2 linked regions of the Drosophila melanogaster genome follow. The gene in region 1 interacts genetically with each later gene. Each region holds a gene or a part of one and is shown in the gene's direction. Other genes may lie near its edges.

Region 1 (3,754 bases):
TGAGGCACTTAAAAAATTCTCCGAGCGAATTCTCCCAAGGCGTGGTGGCAACCCTGTCAGCACGGAATCCCCGATCCCGATCCCGATCCACAGACCAACGAATGGGGGGGAATGCATTCCTTATTCAGATCAAATGCCGTAATGGTTAATTGTGCAGCCCAGAGAGCCGGAGACAACACCTGCCCTGTGGAAAATGTTAATGATGCTTTAATTGCACCGCATGAGCATACGGGTCGACCAATCCGGAAGAAACCCATTGGAGCTCAACGATTTGCATTACATCTTTACAAGCGGTTTCAATTCAGACATCCCTCAAGTCATCTTCTTTAAGGGTTGCATGCACATATATAAGTACTAGCGAGGTATCACTGTACCTACGTCACATAATCTGTAACGATAATCTGCAGCTGTCTTATACTTATGTAAACTAAACCAGCCTGTGCTATTCCCAACTGATTTATTCGACCCTAAGCAGCGGTGGAAGGTTTTAATGTGCTTTACATTCCTTGTGGTTTGTACTTTTTTACAAACCCACCAAAATCTATTTCTCAGGACATATATATGTATATACATATATAAAGAATAACCTTCAACTCCATGCCATAAACAAGAAAAGTGCTCGCGATAAACCACGAATACTTTGCATGCAAATAAGATTCCGAATATATGCAGAGAATAATCAAATTTGGCCAGCTGGAGAGACTAGCTACTTTCAATTGAAGCCCCACATGTGGGATGCAGGGTTTCCCGCACAAAATGAGGACACTTCTAAGTGGGGTTAATGCTTTATTGATCGGCGTTATGTGCCAAAAAGCTGCACCCATCCAACCATTCCCTCACATAATGGTCTCCTCCTCCAGCATGTACTCCGTGAGATCGGCTTCGCCCGACAGCATGGTCACCGGCACCCGGTTCATCTGGGCCACCCGTTGACTGGGCCAGACCATCACGTCGCAACAGTTGGTCAACACGACCACATTGGTGCTCGGCGTGTTGGTGCACATCAGGTTGCCGGCCTTCTCCTGGTCGCACTTGTTGAACTTGCGCCGGAAACGGAACTTCACGGGCAACGAGTTGCCCATCACGCTCTCTTCATCGAAGTACGGCGGCAGGGATTTGTTGAAAGCCGGATTTGTGATGGCCGGCTTGGTTAGCTGATAGATGAGTGGAGTAACATCTAAATCACTGAAGCACATTGAATGTACAGATCACTCACCTCTTCGAGAACCACGGAGGTCTTGAGTCGGCGACAGGGATCACAGTAGTCGGAGGCCAATGTGTTCTCCGGTGTCTTGGTAGCACATGGATCCGGCTTGGGTTCGGGCACATTGGATCCCAAACCACTACCATGTGGCCCACTGTCACTGTCACGTTTACCCTTCGGATTCATGGGATCCTGGCCGCGCAATACGCATTCCTGCAGGAACTCTTCCTCGATGTCGATCAGTTTCTTGATGGCACAGTCCCGCTTCAGGAAGTTCTTGATCACGGACAGATTGCGGGGCACGGCGCCGATAACGTCGAAGTCATCGCTACGGAGCTGGAGGCGGTGCGCCATGACTTTGGTTCTCCAAGATGAATGGAGGGGCGGATGGTTGGAAGGGGGTTCGAATTTGGGGGAGTAGCTCGTTTCGAGTGGAATGTTTAAATGAACTACAACTTGACGTCTGGCCCCAAGTTGAGTGGGTTTCAAGGATATGCAAACAATAGTTGAGATTAAGTTGGCGCCAAGGATAAAGTGCACGTTTGAGGGCAAAAGCTTGGTACACTCTATTTAATAATATATATTAAGGGTAAACGCTACACTTATCCCAATAAGGTAGCTTTACTTTCCTAACAAGTAAATTGACCTACCACCCAAAGCTAGTTTTTAACATTTGATGGCACTATTTTCGTGGCTAGTGCTGTAGTTCTATCGCCTCCTGGCCGAGCAACAAGTTCGTGCGCGGTTTTACAGCCACTGGATGCCAAACCGTGGGCCTGCGCTCAGCTCGGTTTAGTTCCGCTCACTTAATCTCCGGCAAGCGAAACTCGGAGCAGAGCTTGCCCGTTGGATGGTCTGTTGGCTATTGATTGGAGCTTTCCGCCGCTCAAAGCTCCGCTCGAGAGGTTCTTATTGCCACCGCTGGCCACAGCAGCCACCAGAAGAGCAGAGCCACCCGAAGCGCCAACACGCGAAGACAAAGTCCGGCAGACAGCAGCGCAAAAAGAGACAGATAGCAGTGAGAAAATCATCGAGGAAAAAAGATTGTGTGCTAGCCGTCAAATTGAGTTCCATTCGAGTGGCAAACAAACCTGAGTAGCCGCACCGCCATGAGCTTTACCCGCCAACTGTCCGAGATGAGTGCCAGCGAGCTGAACGATGCCATCGACGACACCAACTTCCCGCAGGCCCACATCCTTTCGCGCGGACGCAACAACAGCGTCTGCTCAACAAGTAGCACCTCGGGCACCTCCTCGCTGGCGGACAGGCAGCAGAACCAGGCGGAGGAGGCCACTGCCATTGCGGGCACACCCGTCGAGGAGGTGGCGCCAGCTCCTGCTCTCGTCCCGTTGGCCGGCAACCAGAGACCCCGCCTCATCCTGAAGACCAACGGCAGCAGTCCGGATAGTGATGGTACACAACCGAAAACACCACTGACACCGCGTACATCGACAACGCCAGGTAGTGGTGGGTAGTGGTCCAGGACCAGGTCAGGGGATCCAGAGCTATGTTTGCTGCGACCGATTTAGTTAGTCAATGAACTAGGAGGAGGAGGAGTGCTTGACAAACTCTTTTTGAGCATAAACCGTACGCCTATCAGTGGGTTAGTGTTTCGGTTCAGAGGTCAGAAGATGCGCCTCGGAATGGGGAATAGTACTTAGACAGCCACACACAGCCAACGAAGGGGGGCAATGCCTTCCTATCTCGCATGATAACGATTCTCATCATGTTTCCATCCGTATTTCCATTTACAGGCCACGAGAAGTGCACGTTCCACCACGACCTGGAGCTGGACCACAAGCCGCCGACGCGAGAGGCCCTCCTTCCGGACATGGCACGCTCGTATCGTCTACTCTTGGGCGGCCTGGGCGAGAATCCCGATCGCCAGGGACTGATCAAGACGCCGGAGCGGGCAGCCAAGGCCATGCTGTACTTCACCAAGGGCTACGACCAGAGTCTCGAGGGTAAGCACACCACACATTTCAAGCAATTAGCACCGGGTCAGTGATCGAAGTTGCTCATCCTGGTTTTCCCAGCGAGTGGGAACTAGTTTCATGTCGGTGAATCACCATTTACGGGGGTTCCTCGGTCCGCTATGGTGCATTAGCCTAATTACCTGACCACTCGAGAGATAAAGCACATGAACATAGGGAGCCATTAGGCAATTTCGGGCTTGTCCAATCAAGTGGACGCATCCAAAATCCATTCAATATCCTATGAAATATGAGATTTGACTAGTAAAGTTTTTGGTCTCATGTTTGGCGTGCATTTCGACTTGCAGTCGCTTTTGAACTTGTCATGTAATCAATGTGAGTCGTTTGAGAAACAAAACAGAATTGCGAATTATATGGTTGCTACACCAGCATACCTAACCGGTTGCCCGAGAAATCAGGTTCTACGGTTTGTCAAATAAAATCGCATGTAAATTTAAGATCAACAGCAACAGCAGCAGGCCATTTGAAAGCTAAATTCGTTGAACGAAAGTGAATAGCCTTCGGCATCGGCAATAGAATGGGTTGGATTGTGTTTAACCCGAATTCAAAGAACCCA
Region 2 (3,754 bases), on another chromosome or scaffold:
AATCGCGGCTTTAACGTGCTACACCATGCAGCGCTTAAAGGAAACGTGGTAGCTGCTCGCCGTATCCTGTTGCTCTCCCGCCAGCTGGTCAATGTGCGCAAAGACGATGGCTTTGCGGCTCTTCATTTGGCAGCCCTTAACGGTCATGCCCAGGTTGTGGAAACGCTGGTCACTGAGGGCCAAGCGGAGTTAGATATACGCAATAATCGCCAACAGACGCCGTTCCTACTGGCCGTCTCCCAGGGCCATGCCGGGGTAATCGAGCGACTCGTTCGCCTCTCCTGCGACGTGAATGCCAAGGATGAGGATGGCGACAATGCGATGCACTTGTGCGTCATTAAGAAGTCCAATCTGCAGTCGGCCGCGGAGCCTCAGCCAGAGGAGGCTCCTGAGATTCACAAGTTTTACCTGAGTCTAGTACACTCGAGCATTCGTCCTGAGGATCGTTTGATGTACAGTATATTGATCTATCTTTCGAGGGCCGGCTGCCGAGTGGAGCTGAACAACGCCAATGCAAGCATTTTTGAGTGGATAACGGACCGCCACATCAGGCAACTGATTTTTGGGCAGCAGGGCGAAGCTGAATCGCTGCCTAGGAATCTTCAAGCTTTGGAAGTGTCCGCAGGATCAGCCGACGGTGAGGAGAGCTCTGCGTCTGCTGGAGCTGAATCCAATGGAGCCGGACCTGGAAGCGTTGCAGCACCCCCACCACCGCAGCGCCAGACATTTGAACTAATGCCAAAGCCAAACGATATCCCAGCCATTGGAGTTGGAGCATCTCCATCCACGCCCTCCGCCTCGCCGGGCGTAAAGAAACTGAACTCCGACGCAACACCGCAAAACGTCTCTCCACAGGTGGCACCGCGCAAGAAGGCGCCCAAGCCTCCGGTTACCACTAGCTCGAGCAGTACCGCGTTGGAAGCCGGAGCGGCGGGACCCAGTACCAGTCCGGTGATCGTCCCCGGTCCCCATGAGTGCATTGTGTGCAATGAGATCCTGCCGATGGTGCGCTTTGAGCCGTGTCAGCATCAGATCGCCTGCGAGGAGTGCGGCATCCGAATGAAAAAGTGTCTCCGCTGTGCCGTGGCGATCGAGCGGCGATTGACGGTCAGCGGCCGAGTGGTGGCCCTGCCCACGTCCACGTCGTCACCTAGTGACCCCACTCGCCTACCGTCCGGGGATCTACTTCGCTATCTGGAGAACAAAGTGCTGGAGTTTGAGGAGTCGCACTTCTGCGGTATTTGCATGGAGCGAAAAAGGGATGTGGCCTTCCTGTGCGGGCACGGCGCGTGCTCCCATTGTGCCGAAACGCTCCGCACATGCCACATGTGTCGCAAGACAATACTCAAGAAGATCAACCTGTACTGAACGGCGGTAACGGAAACGAAAGAAAAGCAAAGGCGGCAGGATCAGCAGCAATTCAAACAGCAACCAAAGTGGCTTGTATATATACATACACAAAACAAACACACACTCACATTGCCGTGTCATGTGCAAATCGAAATTATTATTTATTGATCACAAACGAAATTTACGAGTTCTTTTTTAATCGGTTCATCATCGGCATCGTCGCAACACGCAACAAATTAATGTGCACCTTCTCGTGTCTAGTTATTAGCCCCGTTTAACCATGTCTGGTAACGATAAATACATAGGAAACTAACTAAAGCATACAAATATTTAATAGTCATTTAAATGCAAATATACAAATATAAAATTATTTAATTGAGTGAATTTCAATCGATGTCGGTGGTTAGCCTACAGAAAATAAAGATACTTTATTTCTGAATATGCTGGGGTGACTTTTAATTGTATTGGTATTTAAAAGGTTTAGTTTAAAATTGAATATATAATAAGTTTAGAAAGATTTTAAAACTGAAATGTTGTAACGGCAAAGTGTGAACAAGTTATTTTCTTTCAGTACGCTGCATAAATTTTAAATGTTTTGCATTTTTGTAAGCATTGACTTGGCAAGCTGTCGGATCTTAAGCTCCGTTTAAAAGTTAATGTAAGCAAAAGCGGCAAAGTACAACTTATAATTGAAAATATACACAAGTTTATTTTTTATTTGAGCGAAACAATCGATACCTCCAGATTTACACGCTAATCGATAACAACGTAGCCAGAAAAAAAGCAAACACGTCACAACACTTTGGCCGCAGTCCGACGCGAAACTAAAGTAAAGGACAAAATGGCCAAACAAGTGGCTGATTACCAGTGCAGTAAGCTCCAGTTGTACCAAAAGCTGGCACTGGTCGTAATCCTGGGAGCAGTGCTTTTCTCGCTCCCGGCGTTGTGCGCCGGCCAGGGCAATCCCAGTTTCAAATACTCGCGGGAAGCCAACGAAAACTTCGATCCGCAGAAGGCTCCACGGGCGGAGCACCATCATCATCATGATCATGACCACGATCATGGACACCACCACCACGGGCACGATCATGATCATGACCACGACCACGGGCATGATCATGGACACCATCATCACGGGCACGATCATGATCATGACCACGACCACGGACACCATCATCACGGGCACGATGAAAGGCACACCAAGGCAAAGCCGGATTTGGGTAATCAACGAACTACCACTCTTAAAATGCCCGAGTTGACCCAAATTTCTTATAGATATGAGCACCATTTGGTTGCACTCGATCGGCTCAACTCTTCTTATCAGTGCCGCTCCCTTCGTGCTGCTGTATATCATTCCCCTAGACAACAGTGAGGCGATGAAGCCGCGTCTCAAAGTGCTTCTGGCCTTTGCTTCTGGCGGTTTGTTGGGTGATGCCTTTCTGCACTTGATTCCTCATGCCACGCATCCACACAGTCATGGAGAACACGGCCACGATCACGGCCATGATCACCATCATCATCATGATGGCGAGGAGCATGAACATGGTCACAGCCACGATATGAGCATTGGTCTGTGGGTCCTTGGAGGAATCATTGCCTTCCTTTCAGTGGAGAAACTGGTACGCATTCTAAAGGGCGGTCATGGAGGACACGGCCACAGCCATGGAGCACCAAAGCCAAAACCAGTGCCTGCTAAGAAAAAGTCCTCTGACAAAGAAGACAGCGGAGATGGAGACAAACCGGCAAAGCCAGCCAAGATCAAGTCCAAGAAACCAGAAGCGGAGCCAGAAGGCGAAGTGGAGATTTCCGGCTACTTGAATTTGGCGGCGGACTTTGCTCACAACTTCACCGATGGCCTGGCCATCGGCGCCTCCTATTTGGCGGGCAACAGCATTGGCATTGTGACCACTATCACTATTCTGCTGCACGAAGTGCCCCATGAGATTGGTGACTTTGCCATTCTTATAAAGTCTGGCTGTTCCAGGCGAAAGGCAATGCTTCTGCAGCTCGTCACAGCGCTCGGAGCTTTGGCGGGCACAGCGCTAGCTCTTCTGGGAGCTGGAGGCGGGGACGGATCGGCCCCATGGGTCTTGCCCTTCACAGCCGGCGGTTTTATTTACATCGCAACAGTGAGTGTCCTGCCGGAGCTGCTTGAGGAGTCTACGAAACTGAAACAGTCGCTGAAGGAAATCTTTGCGCTGCTAACCGGCGTAGCCCTAATGATCGTTATCGCCAAGTTCGAGTAATATCAAAATTGTGGAAAGTTAACACAAAAAAGATCTAATTGCATGTACTGAAAGTGTGCCGCAAACAATTTGAAAGATTTCTGTTCGTTACCTACTCAAAACGATGAGCAACTACTTAAATTTCTTATATTTCAACAGTCAGTAACCGCTATTAGTTC

What was found. A genetic interaction does not mean that the proteins touch.
Region 2: of Pu (region 1) and Catsup, changing one suppresses a phenotype caused by changing the other (phenotypic suppression), as found in Drosophila melanogaster (one study listed by BioGRID).

What each region holds. Positions count from the first base shown.
Region 1 is NT_033778.4:21,176,980-21,180,733, forward strand, and holds the start of Pu (punch), read left to right. Parts: upstream 1-2,138; 5' UTR 2,139-2,313; coding exon 2,314-2,665; intron 2,666-2,958; coding exon 2,959-3,168; intron 3,169-3,754. Other genes in the region: CG4286 (uncharacterized protein), read right to left, coding at 837-1,154, 1,217-1,558. UniProt on the Drosophila melanogaster protein: Isoform B is required for eye pigment production, Isoform C may be required for normal embryonic development and segment pattern formation.
Region 2 is NT_033779.5:19,039,755-19,043,508, forward strand, and holds the start of Catsup (catecholamines up), read left to right. Parts: upstream 1-2,107; 5' UTR 2,108-2,191; coding exon 2,192-2,570; intron 2,571-2,625; coding exon 2,626-3,596; 3' UTR 3,597-3,754. Other genes in the region: mib2 (mind bomb 2), read left to right, coding at 1-1,368.